Arabidopsis thaliana: one gene and its partners. The protein of the gene in region 2 interacts with the protein of the main gene of each other region in a pairwise test. Each region holds a gene or a part of one and is shown on either strand. Other genes may lie near its edges. The genes, in order: HSFA9, EIL2, BBX17 and HB24.

Evidence for each region.
Region 1: the proteins of EIL2 (region 2) and HSFA9 interact in a two-hybrid assay, tested with the Arabidopsis thaliana proteins (one large-scale study listed by BioGRID).
Region 3: the proteins of EIL2 (region 2) and BBX17 interact in a two-hybrid assay, tested with the Arabidopsis thaliana proteins (one large-scale study listed by BioGRID).
Region 4: the proteins of EIL2 (region 2) and HB24 interact in a two-hybrid assay, tested with the Arabidopsis thaliana proteins (one large-scale study listed by BioGRID).

Annotation. Positions count from the first base shown.
Region 1 is NC_003076.8:21,941,368-21,947,269, reverse strand, and holds HSFA9 (heat shock transcription factor A9), read right to left. Parts: upstream 3,288-5,902; 5' UTR 3,253-3,287; coding exon 2,863-3,252; intron 2,784-2,862; coding exon 2,178-2,783; 3' UTR 1,846-2,177; exon of another isoform or gene 1,768-1,845; 3' UTR 1,619-1,767; downstream 1-1,618. Other genes in the region: HGO (homogentisate 1,2-dioxygenase), read right to left, coding at 1-62, 143-318, 395-562, 684-763, 853-1,083, 1,160-1,350; AT5G54067 (B3 domain protein), read left to right, coding at 5,124-5,504.
Region 2 is NC_003076.8:7,179,641-7,185,945, reverse strand, and holds EIL2 (ETHYLENE-INSENSITIVE3-like 2), read right to left. Parts: upstream 3,358-6,305; 5' UTR 3,339-3,357; coding exon 1,761-3,338; 3' UTR 1,604-1,760; downstream 1-1,603. Other genes in the region: AT5G21125 (uncharacterized protein), read left to right, coding at 518-898. UniProt on the Arabidopsis thaliana protein: Probable transcription factor acting as a positive regulator in the ethylene response pathway. Could bind the primary ethylene response element present in the ETHYLENE-RESPONSE-FACTOR1 promoter.
Region 3 is NC_003070.9:18,173,149-18,179,872, forward strand, and holds BBX17 (B-box type zinc finger protein with CCT domain-containing protein), read right to left. Parts: upstream 3,242-6,724; 5' UTR 2,789-3,241; coding exon 2,755-2,788; exon of another isoform or gene 2,664-2,754; coding exon of another isoform or gene 2,651-2,663; coding exon 1,884-2,650; intron 1,773-1,883; coding exon 1,593-1,772; 3' UTR 1,269-1,592; downstream 1-1,268. Other genes in the region: CRF9 (Integrase-type DNA-binding superfamily protein), read left to right, coding at 279-1,268; AT1G49140 (NADH dehydrogenase ubiquinone 1 beta subcomplex subunit 10-B-like protein (Complex I subunit NDUFS6)), read right to left, coding at 4,548-4,582, 4,833-5,121; AT1G49150 (uncharacterized protein), read left to right, coding at 5,429-5,875; WNK7 (Protein kinase superfamily protein), read right to left, coding at 6,325-6,724.
Region 4 is NC_003071.7:7,969,737-7,975,300, forward strand, and holds HB24 (homeobox protein 24), read right to left. Parts: upstream 2,346-5,564; 5' UTR 2,175-2,345; coding exon 1,386-2,174; 3' UTR 1,290-1,385; downstream 1-1,289. Other genes in the region: AT2G18340 (late embryogenesis abundant domain-containing protein / LEA domain-containing protein), read left to right, coding at 68-1,289. UniProt on the Arabidopsis thaliana protein: Putative transcription factor.

The DNA of each region.
Region 1 (5,902 bases), about 15 Mb from region 2:
ATAGATGGATCTCCATGATCTAAAAGCACAGTGTTGTATGGACAGAACTTCTTCAGGTCATACTGCAGACAGAAATTGAAATTCTCAGAAAAACAATGCATTAACGTTTTACAAGATTAGGCTCAATAAACAATGTACTCACCTTATAAGGCACGTAATTGCCATGCCAGGCAACCACATTGAATGGAGAGAAATCTTGTTTAGCAGTAAAGAGTTCACCGCCAAACTTCTGAACAATTGTGTATTCAGGCCGCAATCCATCCTCAAACCATGCTGTTGGTGCAAGAAAATCTCTTGATGCAGCAAGACCATTAGCACCTGTCCACATCCACCAATAAGATTCTTGCGGAGAATCCATGTTATTCCGGCTGAATCTAAAAGAACTCAAGAGTACCTATTGGTCCAAGATCAGGAAGCTGAAAATGAGCCCCATAGATTTCAGCAACATAACCACGAGACTTCCCATCCGGTAAATCTATGGAGAAACGGAAACCTTGTGGTATAACAGCAATCTCACCAGGAGTTACCAAAAGCCTTCCACACTCAGTTTCAATCCATAGCCCTAAAACACCCACTCAAACTATCAGAACTGATCCAAGACTATCTTGAATCCATTCTCAATACATGACTGACTTTATTTCCCAAAGATGTGGTAAGGTAAGGCATTGGGACTACTAACTTACTTCCTGTTTGAGGAACTAACAAGAAGTCACCATCAGCGTTGCAAAATGCGGAGTCTTTCATTCCTGTGTTAGCCACATACCTTCAAAACAAAATGAATACAAAAGATCATTACTTTATGTATCACTGATCTACACCAAAGATACCAAAATAAAAAGAAGAGTTTTTTACATGTGAATAGCGAAGCCATGGCGAAGAAACGAGCTTCCAGCTCCACAAATGGTAAATAACCCATCAACGAAATCAATCTCCGAATCAGGAATATCCTCAGGTCTCCACCGAAGCTGAGTCGGATTCGTACGACTATTTGATGCATCAAACTCACTCACAAGCTTCTTATGAGCTGGTACACGAGGCTTGAACGGTTCATGTGTAACCGATGGTTTAACCCGGTACAACCAACTGAAAAAAAAAACAAGATGAAGATCAATCAATTCAACGAAATTATCCAAAACTTACAATTGAAATGATGATGTACCTTCTTTGATTGAGCTTGCGAGGAGAAGTGAAAGAAGTACCGGAGATCTGTTCGGCGTAAAGACCGTAAGGACAAAGAAGAGGACTGTTCTGATCTAACGGTAAAGCTCCGGCGATTGCTTCCGATGAGAAGTGGTTACCAAAACCTGATTGATACTTCAACTCTTCAAGCTCCTTCTTCTTCTCTTCCATGGCTTCTTCACATCAGAGAGAGGAGCTTGTTAAAGAGAGAGACGATGATCGATACATATATTTAATAACGTGGAGGAATGATGATGACGTGGCATACTGATCAAAGAGGAAGAAGAAATGACGTCTGAATTTAAAACTCTTTTTCCTAACAAAACCATAATCTCTAACTATTGGGCTTGAACATATATGGGTTTTGTATACAATTAGGCCCATAAGCTTATGATTTCTTTTTTCTTACGAATTTTGCGTCCCACATCGGTAAGCGAGTGAAGAAATAACTGCTTTATATATGGCTACAAAGCACCATTGGTCACGACCTTACTTGAACAGGATCTGTTCTATAGGCTCGTACCTCTGTTTCCTTGATTTCTCAAGAGACAGGCCCTTAACCCTGGTTGATGAACCATGACCGTGCGGCTAGAGCGTGATTGACGGCTACGATCGTCCTCGGACGCATCCGGTGCTGTAGAGGATCGTTACTCGGCTCGGTTCTACCTTGCCGGGGTGGTCGCACGGCGGTCTGACAGGTTCTTTTATTTTTTCACCCTCAAAACTTTGAATGAATTTCTTCTATTTTATGCTACAAGTCACTACTCGCTAGTTAAAAAATTATTAGTAATGGAAGGCGATGGCAACAGTTAACCAGAGCTACACTTTTTTACAAGTCCCTTTTCACTAGAGCTACACTTTTTTACAAGTCCTTGAGTCGCTTTTTACAAGTCCCTTTCGCTTATATACACATGAAACCATACAACAAAGCGCTACGGATTCGGATCTCAAGCCTTGGGATTTGGTACCTTCTCTATTGCTATGTTACCGGTTTTGCTCTACTCTATCTCTATCCTCCCATTTACATCCATTGAGCCACCGTCAACAAGTAGGTCCTCTGAGTTAAGCTGACATCTCGTATTCCCGCTTTGATTGTTCACCAAAATGTCAGGCTCGGGATTGTGTTCTGTTGCAGCCATGGCCATAAATTCTCTTTCTACATCTAACAAGTTCTTTTGAGTTTCTTGATCCTGAAGCAACTTGAGCTTCTTCACGAATTCAGCTGCTTCTAGCTCTCTCTGTATTTTCATCTTTCTCTTCTTCACCAGTCTCTCTACAAATCTTTGATCTTTAGCCAACTTTGCAAAGAAACTAAGCATATGCTGTTGTTCGGTATCAACTCCGTGGATCTTCTCCTGCACAGTGACCATCTGATGTTGAGATTCTTCTTGTTGTTGTTTCAGCTTCAACATCTCCAATCTCATTGGACTCTGTTCCTCCTTCAATGACTCAACCTCAGTCTCTGTCGTGGTGGTACTCGCTTCCTTGTTACAACATTTAGTGTTTTTGCTTCTCCTCTTGATGTTCTTAAGCAAATGTTTCTTCCCTCCTTGAAACCCTTCGTTAGCAAATTCCCACCTATCTGAATCGACCTTTTTAAAACCCTACAAAAAAACTCTAGTTTTTACAAAGCTTGTAAAGCAAGAAACATAGCTAAAGAGTAAAAACTTGTTCTGTGCTTACGTAAGAGTTAAGCTGACGAATAAAACTGGAGAAGTTCTTGTGCTTGAAGTATTTGGGAAGTAGATTCTCTGAGAACTCGTAAGAATCCCAAATGATAAAGCTTTTACGGGTCGGGCTCCATGATACAACCGGGTCTGTTACTTTGTCATCGACGATCTCAAACGTCTTTCTCAAGAACGGTGTTATTAAACCTATCTCGTGCAATTTCCAAAAACCAAGTGACAAGTTAACGGCGTCATCCTCCTCTTCCTTGATTAGTAAAACGACGTCGTCTGGCTTTGAAGATGAATCAGACGAGCCTCTTTCAACGGTGACGGTCTCCGTTGCCGTCTCTTGACAAAGCGAAGAGGAAGAAGATTCAATATCGACGACGTTTGGAATTGCCGTCATAGTAGCTTCCTACACCGTTTCTATTTCTTGTATTAACTTTTTGGTCGTTTATTGTAAGAAATACATCAGTGTTACTATCAAAAAGCTGCCACATTATAACCCATTTTTTTGGAATATAACAATTTATTAACACCTGTATATCTCCAGCTAGCCGTTGGATCTTTGTGGTCGGTCAAGATGAATCGGTCGTCCATTGAATTTGATTTCATGCATGAGGACAAGTGTCGCTTAGGGAAAGCATATACATCAGTTAAAATGCTACTATGCAAGTGCTTTTTTTTTAATAAAGAAGAGAGTTAAAAGATAATTTTGTTAGCTAGAGTTACAGGGCTGTGAGTCTGTGATCAGAGCTCTGTTATTCTTCTATATGATGATAAAATTCATATATTATTGTAGACGATGATAAAACTTATATTGAATTGAAATAGCAGCCATGCTTGTGAATATTAAAACTAGAAATTTTTACTGTAACGTCAATGTTATACGCACTAGAAAATCAAAATGCAATATAGAGTTTTAAGGAATATATAAAGAGACTTAATGGTCGATAAAGAGATCAAAAACAAACTTGTTATAGCGGTTGCATTGGTTGTGGCCGCAGGTGAAGAAGCGACGGTTACATAGGCGATAATGGATTAAACGACGAGCCTTGAGTGAATCCGGTGGGAAGATGAAAAAGGAAGAAACACCATGGCAGGTGAAATTCGACTATGCTCACATTGCAACCATTGCATCGGTCTAACTTCCTCTTTCATATACTCACATTTTTACGAGAATCAACCAAACAATCGTTGCGAGAGAAGCACTTGGATCCTACCTTCCATTGCACTTACTGTTTCCTTGTTTTAAGAGTGAAATGTTTGATTGTGATGGCTTTGGTTATCACAAGAAACAAACAATTGTATAGAGTAACTCAAGTTAATACTCATTACTGTTTATTACAATAGTTACATTTTAAAATTCGTCCGTTATGTCAACCTTTGAAACAAAACATGGAATAGAATTTATACCATGTTGACTGTTAACATTGTAGTAAATAAGATGTATTCAAAGTACTAAAAGAAGTAACAGTCTACTTTACTGACTAAACTTTACTAACTATATAACAGCAAAGTTTATAACTAATATAAAATGAAGCTTTTGGGCTACCTAACCGACATGCCACAACCAAATTTGTTGCTCTGCATGGGTCCTTTTGCAAGATTGGCACGACTCATAAAAATGCTCCCAAAAGTCCGTACTACAAAAAGTTTCGGAGGATTAAAACTATTCTAAATTTCTAATCTTATTCTAATTAAAATGCTCCCAAACGTACGTACCCTACAACAAGCTTAGCAACGACCTAAATTAAATTTCAGATTTTTTATACTTTTTGTTGAGTGAATATGATTACTTTGGGCTTGCAAAACACTTAAATATGTCAAATGGTCCGTTTATAGATTATTGAGCGTTTTCGTGTGGACAATTTCTTTTGTGGGCTGAAGTTGGGCGGTCCATAATGGATTACAACGATCCATTGGAGCCGGCTATGATACTATTGTAAATATTATATTGGTTCGGGGCAGCAATGTAATTGGTTGGAACGCTCAAAAAGAGATTGAGAATAGAAATGGAAATGATCTAAATCAATAATTTGCACAAAACTTTATTCTCAATTTACCAAGTGAAAGTTATCTAAATCTAATATTTTGCAAAAAGTTTACTTTCCAATTCCATATTAAGAGAAATCTAGATATTTAGACAATTTTCTAATTTGTTTCAAAAAGAGTTCTGATTTTTTCTCTTTTGTATTTTACCTTTTTTCTTAGGCTAAATCTCCTATATATATGTTTGAATAGAGAACGTAAGAAATATAAAAAAAATTAAGCAAGATGAATTACAACGATCCATTGGAACCGGCTATGATCATAACAAAAGTGCTATCAAAGAGTGATATCGTTGGTAATGTGGTATTACCGAAAGCAGAAGTGATGTCTGTCCTCACGAGGATGAATGTTAACGACCAAGATTTGCTAAACGGTGTTGAAGTGCAAGTCGACGACATAATGGAAGACGACTTATACACAGTTACGCTCAAAGTATCAGGTATCGATAAACCTAAATATTATTTCGGTACTGGTTGGAGTACTATGAAGCATTCGTTAGATCTCTCAGAAGGCGATGTTCTGAAACTCTACTGGAGTCACTTGGACAACAAGTTCGTTGTTTTGAATTTTCAGTATTCAGTACTTCCATTAATGATTCCAGTGTAGCTCGCTTGCACCTATCTTCTTTTCTGTTTTTGACTATTTATGTTTTGGATTTCATATCCTAGTTAAGTGCTGGCTTTTTTTGCCCTATCTTTTTGTTTCTCTTTTGTCAAACTTGATTGGATTATCTTGAATTTGAATTTCAATAAAACGTGGTTCACTTGCCCTACACATGTCCACACACAGACAAAAGTCTTTGACAATTATGTAATTTCCTGCTAGCGCTATTGTATGTGAGCCTAGTTCATGGTCCATCAATCGAGCCAGCCCAAAGTCACCTACTTTTACATTGAAATTGATGTCCAACATGATATTGCTTGCCTTGATGTCCCTATGCAACACACACCGATCTCCCTCTCCGTGAAGATCTGTGTGTCCTAGGTGAGATAAGGGGTCTTTTC
Region 2 (6,305 bases):
TGCGAAGCAGATGAAATGAAGGTTTTGATTTGGTGACAGTAAGGATTTGGAGTAAATCATTTTATTATAAGATAAAGAAAGTGCATATTTGGAGATTAGGACGTGATTGCATGAATATCGTCCAAATATCATTTTGGAGATTCTTTTAATAACAATTATTTAATGAGTATATATTATTTTGTTGATTATCTATTAAATTTTCCATTAGTACAGATGGAGAAAGAAATTGGAGGAACCTTGAATGGAAAGTTTTAATAGAATATACGGAATGTAAAAATTGGTCAATGTAAAACATTTTTGCCAAGAAAAAAAATTGAAGAAGAAAAAAAAAAAAAAAAAAAAAAATATTGAAGAAGAAAATGAATGAAATAAAGTAATAGACAAAAGAGCTTAACTTGACTGAAATGAGAGGATGCAGCCAATCCTAGCATGGAATGGAATAGTGGTAAGAAAAAACCGGTAAGGATTTGATCATTTGAATAAATACAAATTTGTAGATGAGTGATGTGATCATTATATGGGAGACGATATGGGAGGCAATAACAAAGGGCATCTTCAAAATCAGTACAGAACCGACTGGGCTCAAGTCTTGGATTATGTATCGAACCAAAGCAAAGTAGAGCGGAGAGCTATCTGTCTCGCTATGCTCTACAAACCACTGTCTATACAATTTGAAAGGAGAGGAATGGAAGAAGGCACAAAAAGGAACCACATCCGGGGGCTCTTATCACAAAATGGATTTATAAACAAATTTGTATTCATATTTCCACCATTCGAACAAGAGGAGATAGACGGTACGACAAAGCGTATCAAGCATGGATCCTTGCTAGAGTTTAAGCTCCTGAGGTCACCAAACCAAGCTGCTCTTTTACAAGCGTTTTTTTTTTTACTCTTTTAGATCTTTTTAAAATTTATTTTCAAACTCACGAACCACTAAATTGTACAACGAACATTTTTTTTTTGAATATAATTTAACATTAGATTCAAAAAAGTAAATATGATCATTATAGTGAATTATAGCAATACATTGAATTTTTTTCTTTTATAATCAATTGTTTCGATTTTCTTTATTTGTATCAACGGTTGTATTGGAAATATTTATATTTCTTGTAAACTCTTTATAATATAAGTATTTGATTTGCCGAAAAAGGTATAGTTTTATATAGTAAGGTCTTCACATAGTTTTATTTTATGAATTTAATATGCGAAATATCATTTAAATATTTCTGAAATTATTCATATTAACTTTAAAATAGCATATCGTCAAACTTAGTTTATTTGATTTTTCAATTTGAGATTTATATAGAAATACATCTTTTAACCATTAATCTCTTTTAAAGGCACAAAATTAATTTAACACATAAAAAATCTGTTATTTATAGAAAACAATTCCCTATAAAAAGACATAATAAAAAGACATAAATAAAAATATTATCATACCAACAAAGTTTAAATTATTTAATATTAAAAATGTCTACAAACGCCTTCTTCCTTGAAGCCCAAGGCGAACACAAATACACACCTCTAAAGTCTAAACAAATAAAGCATTTTCTACTGTTCTTTTGTCAAAAAGAGAGGCTCTTCAAATCACATAATGAATTACTTTGAATTTGGTTATTAACTTATTATGAAACCTAATCTTCTCCATTGCTACATGGGCTATGAAATGGAGAGATCAAAAACTGTGTTTAATGAGAGAATAAGCAAGAGACAAAGCTATAAAGACTAGAAAACATAAAAAGAAAACTCTGAAGCTTTCTTTACTGAATCCAAGATGTGGGCAACTCTTGCCCTTGATTATGCAGATTGTTCTCTGTTCCTACTGTTTCCTCACCTCCATTGAAGTCAGTAGGTAAGACTAAACCAAGATTCTGATTCAGCGTCGAAGGAGAAGGATTCAAATCCTCAACCAAGTCATCGTTGCCTCTTTGTGGAGCTTTTGGTCTGTAGAGATCGTTGGGATGATTAAACTGGTCTTGAAAGCTCTGAACCTGCTGCTGCATCCCGTTATAATCCGGACAAGGAACCATTAAACCCGTCATACCATAGGGTTTAGTTGGTTGGTAGAAGGAAGTGACTTTATAAGGACAAGTCATTTGGTGATTCTCTCTTAAGTTCCTGTCAAGAAATCCCATATGTGGTTGGCTATAAGGACAGAGACTGTTCTCACATGTTAGGAGTGTTGGATGCATTGGCATCCCAAAATCTTCTTCAAACTTTCTCTTGTAAACACAGTTGTAGTTGTTTTCAAATTCAGGATACTGCTGATTGGTCCGATGAGTGCCACCAATCAGTTCAACATCATAGTCTGTAGATTCAGGAAACAAAACATCTGGGTCTCCACCGGTTGCAGGAACAAGAAAGTTAGAAGTGTTGTTGTTTTCTCTAGACATGGCTATTTGATCAACAATAGCCTTTTCTCGGTAAAGAGCAGCGAGCCATAAAGCGCCTTCTCTTGACGTCATTTTCTCCTGCAAACTTCTAGACCGTCTCACGAGATTGGGTATGTTGCTAATGTCAGAAGCCATATGTCTGATTACACCAATCAAAACACCAATTTTCCACAGCTTCTTGAGATCATGAGGCTTCTTGTAAGGTGGCGGAACACCTCGAAAATCAACGGGTAAAGACAGTTGATCCCACCAATCTTCTTTCCCCGTTGGCCACCATGGCGGTGTCACGCCTTTCTCCAACGGAAACCGCCTCTGAGGAGGGTTGCAGTGAGGAAACAGAGCCGATAACAGAGCTCCAAGAGTAGTATCTTGAAGCTCAAGCAACTTCTGTGCGGTAGAATCCCCAACCTCAGACCCTGAATCACTTCCATCAGAAAGATTGATATCCCTTTGGTGCTTGATTATAGCAGCTGGGCCGTTCCTATCAAACCTCACTTTGTCTTTCCACCATTCACGGAGATTATCAGAAGATCCCGCTACCGTTTTCCCATTCTCTAACACAATCCCATAAACAAAACCTTGAGCTTTATATCGCTCCATTGTCTTCGACATGTACTTCAAGATCCCATCTTGTGCCTTGTACATGGTTCTCTTACTAGAGTGCTCTGGAAAATCATCATGTTGCTGCTTCAACAACAATCTTGTTCCTAGACCGTTCTTCGCCATTTCCTTGAGCCGCTTTAAACGCTGCTTGTCTCTCCAGATCTTCTTCTCAAGCTCCTCTATTTCCATTTCCTCATCACTACTCAGATCATCGCACAAAGCCGTATGCGAATCAGAACACATATGTCCCTCTGTAAATGGAGGCGCCGAGCTACAAACTAAACTCCGGAACATCCCTATATTGTTGTTATACATATCCATAGAATCTGCAAATAATGTCATCAACTATGATTCACTTTAAGAATAAAATTGCATAATCATCGTCATTTAGTAATGCCGTATTTATCAAAATCTAAATTAAAACTCTCTAGCAATAACATAACACAAAAGAAAAAAACAGAGACTTTTAGTGAAAGATCGAGAGATCTAACTTGTGAAATAAGATTCATCATATGAATAACACAAAGATTTAGAGATCCAAATTCCATTAGTTATTACTCCCAAGGGATTGAATAAATACTATAGGAAAACTACTACCAAAGAGATTAAGTACATAATATAGGAGAAATATTTAGAGAAGGTAAAAGAAAATCACAAACAAGATTAATGGTTTATCATCAAATGATTATACAGTAAAAGCATCGATCTTTTTCTTTCTTTTGATTCTTATCAAAGCATATAACGACAAAACAATCCAGTCCGTATTACTACTGAAATACTTGATCTTGCAAAAGTGAAAATGGAACCCATCGGACAAAATATCAGATAGACCAAACCCAACAAGTCAAAAAACAATATTTGCAAGCAGACAATATACGTAAAAGCAAAACAAAACAAAAACAAAAATAAAGAGAAATCGAAGGAAGAAGAGAATATACCCAGAAAACTCTTGAGACCTTTGTGTTGCTTCGGCCACCAAATTCAAACCAAAGAAGCTATTGGGACCTTCAGAGAGAGAGAAGAGATAGAGACATGTATGTATGTATGTTTGTGTATCTATATATATTATGAGCATTAAATAAGAAGAGACTGCGAAAGGGTGGTGATAATAGGCCTGTAAAAACCATGCTAAACGACACATTTCTTTGTGTAAGGATATGGTAAAAATTTCTTATTTATCTCCTTTGAGTTTCATTCCATTTCTAGTTCAGATTCTTTATTTAAATATATAGTCACTTCTTTTAAAAAAAAGAAAAATTAACATGCCCATAAAATGGTTATTTCTGCCTAAATTATTTTTTGTTTGATAGCCTAAAATTATTAATATCAATATAAAAAATATAATCATGTCTACTATAAGAAAAATATCAAATGTAGATGTATGCTTAAGCGGGAAAAATATAACCCCTAAACATAAAGCGAGTATTTTTGAAAACAAATAGGAATCAAGTACCAAATATAGACATTTTCTAAGGCACGTAAATTTACTATTTTAATGGTATAAAATCGTAGCATGTAATTTTTTTTTTATAAAATATTTAAATAATAGCTTTAAATTAATTGGTGCGTATGTTTGAATTTTAAAATTTGTTAATGCATTTAATTTCATGGGGAGCTGTATCTAAATATATCGGTCTAGATAAACAAATAGTAAAACAGTAAGTAGTTCCGTACGATCTATTTATACTTTAAAAAAAACAAAATACAACCTATTTATACTAATTTACTTGTATTAGTTTTATCAATTAGTTTTTACAATGGAATTTAAATGAGATTCTTGTAGTTCTACCAAGTCCTGAATACTAAAAACTTATCATGCCCAAAGACTTACAAAATAATTACTCTCTTTGTATCAAAATAAAAACGTTTAAATTTTTCCATATTAAGAAATTAATGATTTTCTTTATTTTACTAAATCAAAAGATATTTTATGATTTATCTAATCACAGTCCAACCAATAAAAATAAAGTAAAAAATGCACATTGTCATAAAATATATAGAAATTATTACATTTTGCTTTGAAAATGTAAACAAATCACATAATATGATATAGAAAAAAATATCATAGTTTTAAATACAAAAGCTGGCAGAGTATGAAAGAAAAGGGAAAAAATGTTGCCAGTACTCACTAATTAATTCTGATACATATATGATAATGCTAAAAAAACAAAATTATTGAAGAATTCCTTAAAATAGCTCAGAATTGTGGCGCTTTCAATTTCTTACAAAATACCAAATTTCCATGATTTTTGTTTAAACATTTAAAAGCATACAATTTGACATTCTTTAGAATAGAATAAAAATACTTAGTTTACCATTTTTGTTTTTGCATTATATTAGTATATGCTAGATATAAGAGCCTTTTAAATTGCACAAGCTCATAGCATTAAAATTGAAAAGTTTCATATAGGTAAGTATTTTGTATTAAGAATTGTGAATTTTGTATTCTCTATGAATTTATGATATCTTATATATACTAATATACATTCAATCCCTTTGGATACTGGCTCTAAATATTTGACCAACAGATTGGTTTCTAGTATTACTGTCTATATATATTTCCCCATTTTCCTTTAAGCATTCCATAAATGTATTTTTAATATAAAATTAGTAGTTAACAATGTTTTTTATTTTAATAATTTTCTATTTATCCAGACCATCTCAAGAAGCCAAAATTTAAAGATGATAATATGGTGTTTTAAAATCTATTTAAAACAATCCTTTGTAGCTTATTGTATTGTTTTCTATGCTGAATTGTAAACTGTGTCATATAATTGAAGATATTATTTTTTCTTTAGACAAACAAATATATAACCTTCTAAATCACATTGTCTATATATCCAATGGACGATTATGATTCTTATGTAAATCGATCAACATTTTTCACAGTGATATTTGTAATGCACGACTCAAAAAATAAAATAAAACTCTCATCAAATATTCGTTTTTCGATTTTAAAACTCTCCCATTAAAAGATAGGTATTTGAGATTTCGTAATCTTGGCGCCATACTATAAATTGTCGGGTTTCTCATTGCAAAATGTTATATAAACTACTTAATAAATCATGAAATGTTGACCTTTAATTATGATGATATATTATCTATAACTGTTTGTATAACGGTCAACGTGTGGGTAATGAAACAGGTAATACTTTCGTTTTATTTTATTTTGGTTATCCTTTAGAAATGTCAACTAGTTATCTAAATATCATATTTGATTTTAAGTTCAAATGAGATACGGTATATAGTACAACTATATATTATAGGGTATAAAACCTATTTCAAATCAAAGAAAAACAATACCAGCAT
Region 3 (6,724 bases), on a different chromosome or scaffold from region 2:
AAGGAAAACAAAACAATTCTCATAAACTATTAATAACGTCTTCTATGTTTCGTCTTCCTTAGCTTTGCCATAAGCTCCTTGAATTTTATTTTTGACACACTCTCCATAACAAGGTACGATGATGAATCTTAACTATGTTTTCTGTTCAAGTTTTTCTCCCATGTTTAGGTTTTTAATCTCTATCTCTATCACCAACTCAAAACACTACATTGTTTTTTTTTTGGTTTTTATTGTAAGATTCTGTTACTTAGTACCGGAGTTTAGTCGGAGAGAGAACAATGATCAGTTTCAGAGAAGAGAACATCGATCTCAACTTGATTAAAACAATTAGTGTAATCTGTAATGATCCAGACGCCACCGATTCCTCTAGCGACGATGAATCTATCTCCGGCAATAATCCTCGCCGTCAGATCAAACCAAAACCACCGAAACGTTACGTCTCAAAGATCTGTGTCCCGACGCTGATCAAAAGGTATGAGAACGTTTCGAATTCTACAGGGAATAAAGCAGCCGGAAACCGGAAAACGTCGTCGGGTTTCAAAGGCGTACGACGGAGGCCGTGGGGGAAATTTGCGGCGGAGATAAGAAATCCGTTTGAGAAGAAGAGAAAGTGGCTTGGAACGTTTCCTACTGAAGAAGAAGCAGCAGAAGCTTACCAAAAGAGTAAAAGAGAGTTTGATGAACGATTGGGTTTAGTTAAACAGGAAAAAGACCTAGTAGATTTGACCAAGCCGTGCGGTGTACGTAAACCAGAAGAGAAGGAAGTTACTGAGAAGTCGAATTGCAAAAAGGTAAATAAGAGAATTGTTACTGATCAGAAGCCATTTGGTTGTGGTTATAACGCTGATCATGAAGAAGAGGGAGTGATTAGTAAAATGTTGGAAGATCCGTTGATGACATCGTCAATTGCTGATATTTTTGGTGATTCGGCTGTTGAAGCAAATGATATTTGGGTGGATTACAATTCAGTGGAATTTATTTCCATTGTAGATGATTTCAAGTTTGATTTTGTGGAGAATGATAGAGTAGGAAAGGAGAAAACATTTGGATTTAAGATTGGGGATCACACTAAAGTTAATCAACATGCCAAAATCGTATCGACCAATGGGGACTTATTCGTCGATGATTTACTTGATTTTGATCCGTTGATAGATGATTTTAAGTTAGAAGATTTTCCTATGGATGATCTTGGATTATTAGGAGATCCAGAGGATGATGATTTTAGTTGGTTTAATGGTACTACTGATTGGATCGATAAGTTTTTATGAATACTTTCTTGACACGGCCAACGGTATTAGTACAAAACTACAAATCTTTGAGTTACAAGTTGTTTGTAATTCGTTTTGGTTTTTGTAACTAACTGCTTATATAAAGAGATTTACCTCATAAGAGAAGCTTTTACTAGTATGAAATTTAAATTCTCAAATTGATTTAAGAATAAAGTTGTAACCATGTCATTGTAGGGATAAATTCAAAAGCTACGAAATATGTTCCACATGAGCTTTTTTGTTCTTTTGATTAGCTTCTGGTTTCTTTGGAGTAGCCTTTTTTTTATTTGGCACAAAGGAGAAGAAACTGAGAGAATCTGTTCCCTAAGAGTCGATGGCTAAAGATCGTCGGACAAATCGACCTTTCATTCTCGGCCTTTTGTCGGCGTTAACCTTTCTAACCTCGTACCTTATCTTCTTCTCGAACAAACGATTCTTCCTTTTATCTCTGTATCTCCAAACTCTAGCTTCTCTCTCACTTCTTACTCTCTTCTCCTCTATCCCCTGCAATCAACAACCATTACAATAAGTTTCTTTGATAGATTGGGTTCAATTTTCTCAATTTGAAACAATATAATATCATTTTTGTAAGAACTCGGAAGATTAGGCGCTTACTGGAGGAACTAGCTGGAAGCTACTTGTGTTGTTTTTTACATCTCTAGGAGATTCTTGTTTATCCCAAGCTGCTATAACATTTTCGTAATTCAGTCTATGCCTTGCATTATTCTCATAACAATCTTCAATTTCTTCTGTCTTTTCTGAAACCGTTATGACATTGTCGTAATCTTTCTTGCAGCTCATCAAATATTGTCCAGGACATGCTTCAGCTCCATCAGTTTTATCTTCTTCTTCTCCATTGTAATATAGATCCTCCATTGTGTCAGCTTCTTCTTCAAAGTTGAATTGTTTCGTTGTTTCTTCAGTACCATTGTGGTTGCTCAAGAAGAATCCCATCTCTGTGAATCCCTCAAACTCTGGCACAAGAGAAGTCATATCATCATCATTTGCTTCTGGTATGAAAAACATCACTTCGCCTCCAATCTCGGGAACACGAGGATCTTCCCTTCTTCTCTCATCATCTATCTTTTGTTGTGGCTTTTTCTCATACCGAGATCTAGGAGTTCTTGCTTTTCTTCGAAACCCGCTGTGCCAAACCGAGGTTAATGTTGTTCCCCCACGCACATCATTCGATATCTCGTTTGTTCTAAGACAAACTCTCTCGTGTTTTGTCGCTACATGGTTTGCAGAATGCACTGATTCATCACAAACATGGCACAAGAAAGCATCATCGGAGGCACAGTACCAAACTGCGTGTTTGTTCAGACAAAGTTCGCAAGCTCGTGGCTGCTTGACATCTTCTTGGTACTTTGAAATCATAATTTCTGCGCAAAACATGAAAACAGAGATATGAGAAGAAATCAAAGTAGAAGAAGAAACTGGCACAAAAGGAGGTTTATCAGGAAACAGTAGAGTAATGGTTATATACTTTCTGAAATTTTGATATTTTGGTGACTTGTCATGGGCTAAGAACAAGAAAGATCTTAAAGTGAGAAAAAGGGGACAATGAAGAAGACAAGGGCTAAGAGGGATGGAGAATAATGGGCACTGACAAAGGAGCCTGCTTAGGTAGGTATATAATAATCTTTTTCGTTGGGATCAGACAAAGACATTTTCCTTTAGAATCTAGAAGATTTTTTCACTGACACTTCTTTCTTATGTCAGTAGGGACTAGAAATGACTTTTTAGCTCAAGTTTCCTTGAGTCTTGTTCTATACATGTTTAATATTCTTGAATCTTAACATTAAGGGTTAGTGAACATACTTATATAGAGTAGATTAGTCTTAAGAAAAGGTAGTAAAATTTGAGATGAGTAAACACTTGGTGTATTATTGAAGTTTGGCCATACCCATTTTTGGTTGGGTTGTACAAGGAAAAAAGACACTGTAGTGATGATTTGGCATCATGTACCGAAGTTGATCCATATCTTTGCGATCTTATTGGTTAGACTTGGATTATGTTTTTGGGTCTTTTATGGCTTCTTTTCCTTACCCATCTCTAAGTTTTATCTTTTTGTTTGTTAGTCTTTTGTTTTCTGACTCATTTTGTCTGTGGTCCTTACCTGTCTTTGTCACCATTTAACATATGGTAATAGACTCCGTAGATGTTTGAACTACTACTTAAAGGTTAATAAAAATTTCATGAACTATTTCAGAAATGAATCCATTTAGACAACACTAAAGAAGTAAAGATGTTCCTACAGTTTTGAAATAAAGGGAAAGTATGATGTTTTTAGAGTTAACTCTTTCTTAGTTTTATCAGATAAAGTCTTAAAAACATATACTAAGTTGCAAGCATGCAAAAAGGTACTTGGGAATTTCATTATTTCGACAAACAGGGACGCAATGTACAACAAGCCAAAAATATATATAAATCATTTGAAAAACGAAGCTGAGCTTAACCAATTGGAACTCCCAAGTCCAATTAGTAATATATGTTTTACGAAACAGAAAAGCATAAATCAAGTAACAACCTTGATGTGGAGCATTAACTTGCAACAGAGACTCCATTCATGTATGGTAATCAAAGCTCTCACTCACCTGTGTCATTGGAGCAAGAAAAAACCTTTAAAATCTTTGAACCAAATACAAAAATCATCAATCCAATTTGAACTTGAGATTTTGACTATATGCCTTAACCCTATTGGAACTATTGTTTAAACCAATCAAAACCTAAATGTTGGAGCTCTATCCTTCTTCATACAGTCCACAACATCTCATATCTCAAATAATTAATTCATCAATGAAATTCTGTGACTAGGTTTAGCTCTGTTGCAGATTAAAGATGGACGCAATTGCAAGCGGATTGGTATCTATAATATCGGCCCATATGTCTCCAAAATTGAGTCACTCCAAGATCTATCAATTTCATTTCTATACATTCCAAAACATGTCCTGTTTCTAAAACCACCGAAGAAAGTCCATGACTAAGCTTTAACCTTTGTGATTGCAGTCAGATTGATATCAATAATTAACCAGTGTATCCACAACTTCCGCAAAACTAAGTCACTCTAAGACCTGATCAGTTCATACATATAACTATCCAAACATCCATATTCCAATTTTCTCCTACCACAAACAGATTCACATAACATGTCCAGTTATAAGATAGTGTCTACACAAAGCATGCTAGAAAGTCTAACCTTTCTCCTCTTCTAAGCAATACACACTATATAACTAATCAACACCAGTTACTTACCAAAGATCAATCACGCACACAACATCATTCAGCTTCTTCAACAGCTACTGGCTTAGGACCTGGTTTGACAAAATCAATACAAACAAAAAAAATTCAATACATATATCTAAAGGAAGAATCAATTTCACAAAGGTATTCATGAAGAATTTTGAGACCACTCTACATCAAATTCAAATCAAATTCAATCAAACACACTAAAGAGTAACTGAATTCAAAATTCAAAGGCTAAGGAAAAAAACACGAAACCCTAAGAATTTCAATCTAAGCATTTTCACCAGTGTGAGAGAGAACGCCGGGAAAAAAACTCACCGTGAAGAGAGATAGGACGGTGGTCTTTGCCCCAACCAACGCCGCGAGTGGCATCGAGATACTGCTGAACAAGATGACGACACTTCTGGTAATGGTTAACGCCTTCGACGCGGTAACACCATTTGACCTTCTCACGTAAGATCTTAGCCTTCTCGATATGGATCCATTTCTCACGAACAATGTGTTCTCTCATCTCCACCATCGCAACCGGATCCTTGTACGGATTCTCAGGATCGAATCCATCCGGCGCCGACTCTTCGAACTCCGGCAATCCCTTCTTCCTCCCCATCGGATTTTTGATTTCTTTTGTTTCCGTCTGATTTTCCGACAATCAGGTAATGTTTTGTTGTTATTTTGGGCTTTTAATTCAATTAATGGGCCTCACCTCGGCCCAGATAAAGCTTGCTTAGTTGAAAAAATGAACAACGGGAAAAGTAAATAAAATAAAAGGAAAGGACTCTTGTGCCCCAAGCCAGAATATAAAAGACTCTTATAAATACCTTTCTTCCTAAGCAGCTGATTAGGGGTTTTTGCCGATCTCCAATTTCTCTCTTTTAACCTAGCTCTAGTGCGTTGTTCTACTAATCATCTTCTCCATGGACAATAAATCCGCAACCAAAGCTGAAGCATCTCCTTCTGTGATTAAGGACACGACGCCTACAGACAATTTGGAGAAAGATAAGAAAGACATGACGACTGAGATGAAAATATCTGATGCGATGGAGATGTTGGAAGGATTTGGTATTCGTCTTCATAAAATGGAAGAGAAGATGGATCTGTTGATCTCATTGTTTAGGTCAAATAATGAAGTTAAAATTGGCTCTGTAAAGCCCAGGCAGAGAGCATGTCTGTGGATGGATCATCTTCTGATGAGGAACCTTATAGCCGTTTTGGTACTCCTGTCTTTGGTCCTGGTGGTGGTCGTGGTCTTTTCGTCGGTGGTCGTTTTTCCGGTGGTCGTTGTGGCGGTCAAGGCTTTTGTAGACGTTCCTGTTGAGGTTTTGGTGGCGGAAGAAGAGACCTATTTTTGCTACTCAGCTTGAGCTTTGGTGTTTTAAACTTGTGATATAATGCAACCTCTTCAATAGTTAGGTTTTTCTTATGTTCTATAGTTACGGTTTGTCTGAATGTTAAGCCTCAATTTTGAGTGCTTTTGGTGTTAAATAAACACAATGAAAACAGGTTTATTTCTTATGAATAGAGGCAAGAAAATTGTGTATTCACTTTCTTGTTTTATCTCGAGAATAGTTTTACATATATACCTGATGAATGGTTTTATCTCAGCAATTAGTGCTTTATATAATGTAAATCCCAATTACCATTAGAAAATACTTTCTATTTTTTTTATGGAGGAAACTTTCTACACTTGCAATGAAACAAGTAAACAACAAAAGCTTTTTTCTCTTTGACCAAAACTAAAATAATAAAACATGGAAAAACAGAAAAGCAAAACAGAGGAATCCAAAACCAGAGTGTTGCTCTGTTGTTTACTTTACTCAACTTGTTGCATCTTCTTCTCGAAAAATCTATTTTTGGTCTCCATTGTTGCTTCTTCTCTTTTCCTCGTTATCTCTTTCATCTCTTCTCTGAACCGTTCTTCTATCTTTTCTAACTCCTCTTTTAACCTCTCATCTTCTTCTTCTTCCTCCAAGCTTCCTGGTTTCTCTGCTTCTTGATCTTCTGTTGTTGCAGCTACGGTCGGGTTTGCCTCATCATCGGATCGTGGGCAATAATCAGAGGACAAAGAGTGGCTAATGGATTCACCAGCTTGAGAACTTGCACCGTTTTGATGATTATCCTTGGAGCTCTGGTTCTGTTGCGGATGAATTAGATGATCGACAGCTACATCGGTTTTCCAATTCGGTATCAAATTGACGAGTAACACGTCAATC
Region 4 (5,564 bases), on a different chromosome or scaffold from region 2:
ATTTACGCATGTATTTGGCCGTAGTTAAGTGAGTGATTGAGAGGTAACGTTTTACTTCTTTTCCCAGTGGATTTGGTACTAAGAAAGAAGAAACAGGAATTTATCAAAAATCTAAAGATGAAGCAAGAAAAGCGGCTCAAGCCGCGGAAAACTATGCTTATGACAAGGCAAATTACGTCAAGGACTCTGCTTACGACAATGCAGGTTACGCCAAGGATTTTGCTGAGAACAAGGCAGAGTACGCAAAGGATTTCGCTTATGACAAGGCTGGTGATGCAAAGAACATGGCATACGAAAATGCGGGCTATGCTAAGGATTTTGCATATGACAAGGCTGGTGATGCAAAGGACATGGCTTATGAGAAAGCGGGCCATGCCAAAGATTTCGCCTATGATAAGGCAGGCAATGCTAAGGACATGGCCTACGAGACAGCGGGATATGCAAAGGATTTCGCCTATGATAAGGGAGGCTACGCGAAGGATGTTGCCTATGATAAGGCAGGCAATGCAAAGGATATGGCATATGAGAAGGCGGGAAATGCGAAGGACATGGCCTACGAGAAGGCGGAACACATAAAGGATTTCACATATGATAAAGTGGGATCTGCTTACGGAAGTGCACAGAGTATGATGGACTCTGGTTATGATAAGGCCGGTGATGCCAAGGACATGGCCTATGAGAAGGCAGGCATAGTAAAAGACATGGCATATGATAAAGCGGGGGATGCAAAGGACGTGGCTTATGAGAAGGCTGGCATTGCCAAGGATATGGCCTATGATAAGGCGGGCAATGCCAAGGACATGGCCTATGATAAGGTGGGATCTGCTTATGGCAGTGCGCAGAAGGCAAAGGATTCTGGTTATGAGAAAGCTGGTGAGGCCAAAGACTACGCCTACAAGAAGGCTGGCAATGCAAAAGACATAGCTTACGAAAAGGCCCAAGATGCAAAAGACTTTGCATATGACAAGGCGGGTTACGGATACGACAAGGCCGGTGATGTGATTAGGATGGCAACGGATAAGAGCGGTGAAGCCTATGAAGGAGCCAAAGAAAAGTCAAAGAGTGCCAAAGACACGGCAGGAGAAGCAATGGATGATTCTATTGACTACATGAAAGACAAATCACACAATGCCAAAGATGGAGCAACTAGAGGATTTGAAGAAGCCATGGAAAAAGTCGGCGAAAAGTACGGTGTAGCCAAAGAATCCACAAAATATGCTTATGAAACCGCAAAGAAAAAGGCTTCTCAAGTTGCGGGAGAAATAAGAGACCGTTATGCTGAGCTCTAAAATCAATTTGTTATACAATAAACACAAAGTCTTTAAGTTAAAGCAATGTTGAACAAAGAGAAGTAAAAATAGTATATATATATATATAGAAATCTCTTACAAATCCTTCTTCTTTGCTGCTTGTTTATTGTTGTGCATCCAAACTTTAAACACTTGTCTTTTAACTTTAATCTCACGACAAAACCGATTCACTTCATCATCTTCTAGTTTTGTCATTCTCCAACCAATCTTCTCAGCAAACTCCATCATCTTCTCCTTCTGTTCTTCATTAAACTTTGTCCTAAACCGTTTCTTGGGTTGATAATGATGAAACTGATCCACTCCATAACCACTAAAAGATTGATGAAACTTGTTTAGATCCTCCGTCGATGACTCCGCCGCACAACCACCACCACCACCAAAACTCATCATTATCGGAGACACGTGGCGGCTTCCGAGTGGTCTCTGTGAATGGCCAAAGCTATTGAAATTGACAACAAACAAACCATCGATCTCTTTTCTATGGAAGCTCCGGTGGCAATCACAAGCTGCACAAAGAAGAGACTCCACCGTGCCTTCTTCCCCGGAAGACATAAACTCGCCGCAACCGTCGACAACGTGTCCACCGGAGCTCGCCGCGTGATTCTTTTGGCATTCTCTATACCTTGCCTTCCCCGGAGAAGTAGTTTGAGGCCTAGCGTATGATCTTGGAGCATGAGATATAGAAATTGGGTTAGTATCAAGATCCGGATCCGGATCCGGGTCCGACCCGTTTCTTTTGGTGGTGGGTTTCTCTTTGTTGGCGGTTTGGGAGTAAGTGTACGGAGGAAGACGATGATGATCTAGAGCTGATGATTTTCTTCTTGTCATCTCCATTTTCTCATCTTTCTTCTCTCTAACTTCCATCTTTTCTGATCTTGAAGCTTCTGAATAAAGAAAACCCTAATATATAACTTTTCTCTTAAACAAACATTAAAACTTTCTTAGTAATCTCTCTCCAAAACCCTAAGCTATTTTGATTAAAGAAATCATCATAGCTTTAGCTTCTCATAAACCTATAGAGAAAATGAAGATGATAAATATCTCTTCCAAAGTTGAAACCTTTTTAAAAATTTTGACTTTGACTTTTGTATTAGTGATAGCCCACCAAAACCTACTAGACTAATCTCAAGTCTACAAGCAACTAAATTAAAGGGGAAAACTTATCTAACCCCATTTAAGAAGAGATCAAGAAAAGAAAATAAAGTTTAGGTCGTTACTAATGGAGAAAGAGAAAAGAGGAGAGAAGAAGACACTATTGGTCCTTCTAGAGAGAGAATTAGAGAATCGTGTTTCCTATTGCCCATCAATTTCCGAGAGAGAAAAAAAATCTAATGAAGGAGCCAAGTGGGTTTGGTCTGTGCCAATAATAATAATAACACAGTCCACTAAGAAACAAGAGATGGAGAGAGAAAGTAAGATGTGGACTTGTAGCAGACAGTGCCACGTTGTTTCTCTATCATACAGTGTCCGCACATTGGTCGCAATACATCTTTCTTTTATTGGTTTTTAATGTTGAGTAATGATAAAATTATCTTGTGTTAATTAAGTCGAATGTCAACAATTAGTATAGTTGATGAGATTAGTGTCTGTGGCTTAGCGTAAAATTAGCGATGTAAGTAGGTTTAGTACGATCAGTGCAACATATTATGGTGCATGCATTAAATATTGTTTGTAAAATAAAATGAAAGATTGAATACCTTATGAACATTTACTTTGTAAAATAAATAAGATAACCAAAATATTGTTTGTAAAATAAGCGAAAATCGAATTGGTCGAAATATTTGTAATATATGGTATGGTCTCTTATCTACTTTGATCTGATTTTTAAAATTCAGACAACCAAAATAAGATGATTTGGGCAGAATTTTTTCTCAACTCTTTTATTTTGCGCTAATTAGAGTAACCAATCACATTCTTAATGTTTTTTTCCGTACACACCCTTAATGTTTAAAGTTATGAAAACATACAATAAATAAAAAAAATGGAGTAATCGACAGTGTTTTGACCGGATTTGTGTTTCATAATGCAATCCTTACACAATTCTCATTGGAGAGCTTTATTTCATTTTATTTTTTTGGGAAAAACTGGAGAGCTTTTACCGGACTTTTAATATATAAAAACTTATGAAAAAAATTCTTAATAGGCTTTTCTTCCACTTGTCAATTTATATTTAATATTAAATTTTTCATTTTAGTGTAAGTTACATTAAAATAACAATATTTATTGTTAAGATATTCAAAATAAGTATCTAATGGATGAGAATTATGGTTTAGAAGAATAAATATAAAATCAAAACAAAAAAAAAGAACAGAAAGTGGACGAATGATGTTCTACTTGACATATAAAACTAAAACTAAATCTTCAAACCAAGATATATATATATATATATATATATATATATATATATATATATATACTTTTAGTTACGGTTGATTTCTCCAAAATGGAGCCAAAAGATCAGTAGACCATGATAGAAGAACAAAAAAAGGATTTTAGTGCTGGATAATGATTATGATTCGTTGATGACATACAGGATTATTATCATTTGTTTAGTTAGTTGAACAATTATATTTAAATTGAATGGTCAGTCTAGATACATGTAACTATATGCATTTCTCATGTGCGACATATCTCATCCCATATGCTGTTCCTCGCGGCCACACGTTCGGGGAAATCTAACTTGATTTTTTTTACAATAAACAATACTAGTACTTCGTGAAGAAAAAGAATTACTAACATTTTGAGATTCTTAATTTCTAATAATGCCTTTTTTAGAAGAAAAAAAAATCAAAGTTTAGGAGAGAGGAAAATAATAATATTCTAAAGTTTACAACTATCATCTAAGAAACTAGTATATATCATTCTATCATTGTACTTTTTTAAATATAACATTTATCATTATACAAAAAAATTCATAACATCCTATGAAAAATAAATAAAACTTAGGCTTCTTTCATTTTTTAAATGTGAAAAAAACAGACACAAAATCTTAATAAATTGAAAAGGGAGGATTATAAAGGAAACAAAGCCTCATTTGAAACTTAAGTATAATTGTTTTGAAGTATATTACTGATATCTATTTAATATGATTATATATTTATATATATGTAATGATAATCTATTTTACAATTAGTAGAAATTATTATTTTTATTGATATAACATATTTTTTTATGTTTCATTTAATAACATTTTATGATTTGGTCGAGTAATTTAGTGATTCTTTTTATAAAAAAAAATAGTAAGGAGGAACATTGGACCAGACAAAAAAATACCAAAAAAATACAGTAAGGAGGAACATAAATTTTGAAGAAAATAATAGGAATGACTTCTGTCATTCAAAAAATGATTAAAAATCTTTTTGTTCAAAATGTTTCATACAAAATAAATAAATAACATGTTATTTTCTAATCATAGCTCATCATATAGAGGCCAATTTCCTTTTTAGATTATAGCAATATATTACAACAAGAAATTTATATCTAAAAATAGACTTATAAATTTTAAAAAACTAGCTAATAGTTTGTTGATTAAACAATTAAAGTGCTAGATTTTTACTTAAACATAAAATAATATGTTATATTAATGATATTATTTTTACAATTAATGATATTATTTCAATTTAAGTAAGAACTAAAATAACAAATTGATTAAACAATTAAAGTGCTAATTCTTTTATTTTTGGATGACATGACATTTAAGAAGAAACTATGTTGAATAGTGAATACAAAGCACAAGAATCTATTAAAAAAAAATCTTTAAAAGCAAAAAGTCATATGCTAATCAAAATGAGTGGAAAGTTCCATCTTGAAAGTTTTTCTCCTTGATTAATCCTTGTGATTATAACTCATTACAGATGTAAAACACATAATGCACAAAAATAAAAATTCATGATGTTACTATGTTGGTTAAAAATTATTTAATTAATTTTTATGATATAGTGAAAAATAAATAACTGATTGTAACTTATATGTGATCGATTAAGCTCTAACGTATATAAGAAAACCATGCCAAAAATGGTATACAAAATTTTATATTATGACTTTAAAATTTCCAAAAAATTCTAACATAATGTTGATTAAATTGTTCGTTATGTTTTATTTTATATACCAACACCATAATTTATATAGATAAACAGAACTGGCGTAAAAATACATTAAAAATATATATCTACATGACCAGGGGTAATGCATCTGGATTCTCTGTCTGGTAACAGAATATTTTCTACATGAATTTAAATTGCTATTGTGTTAAAA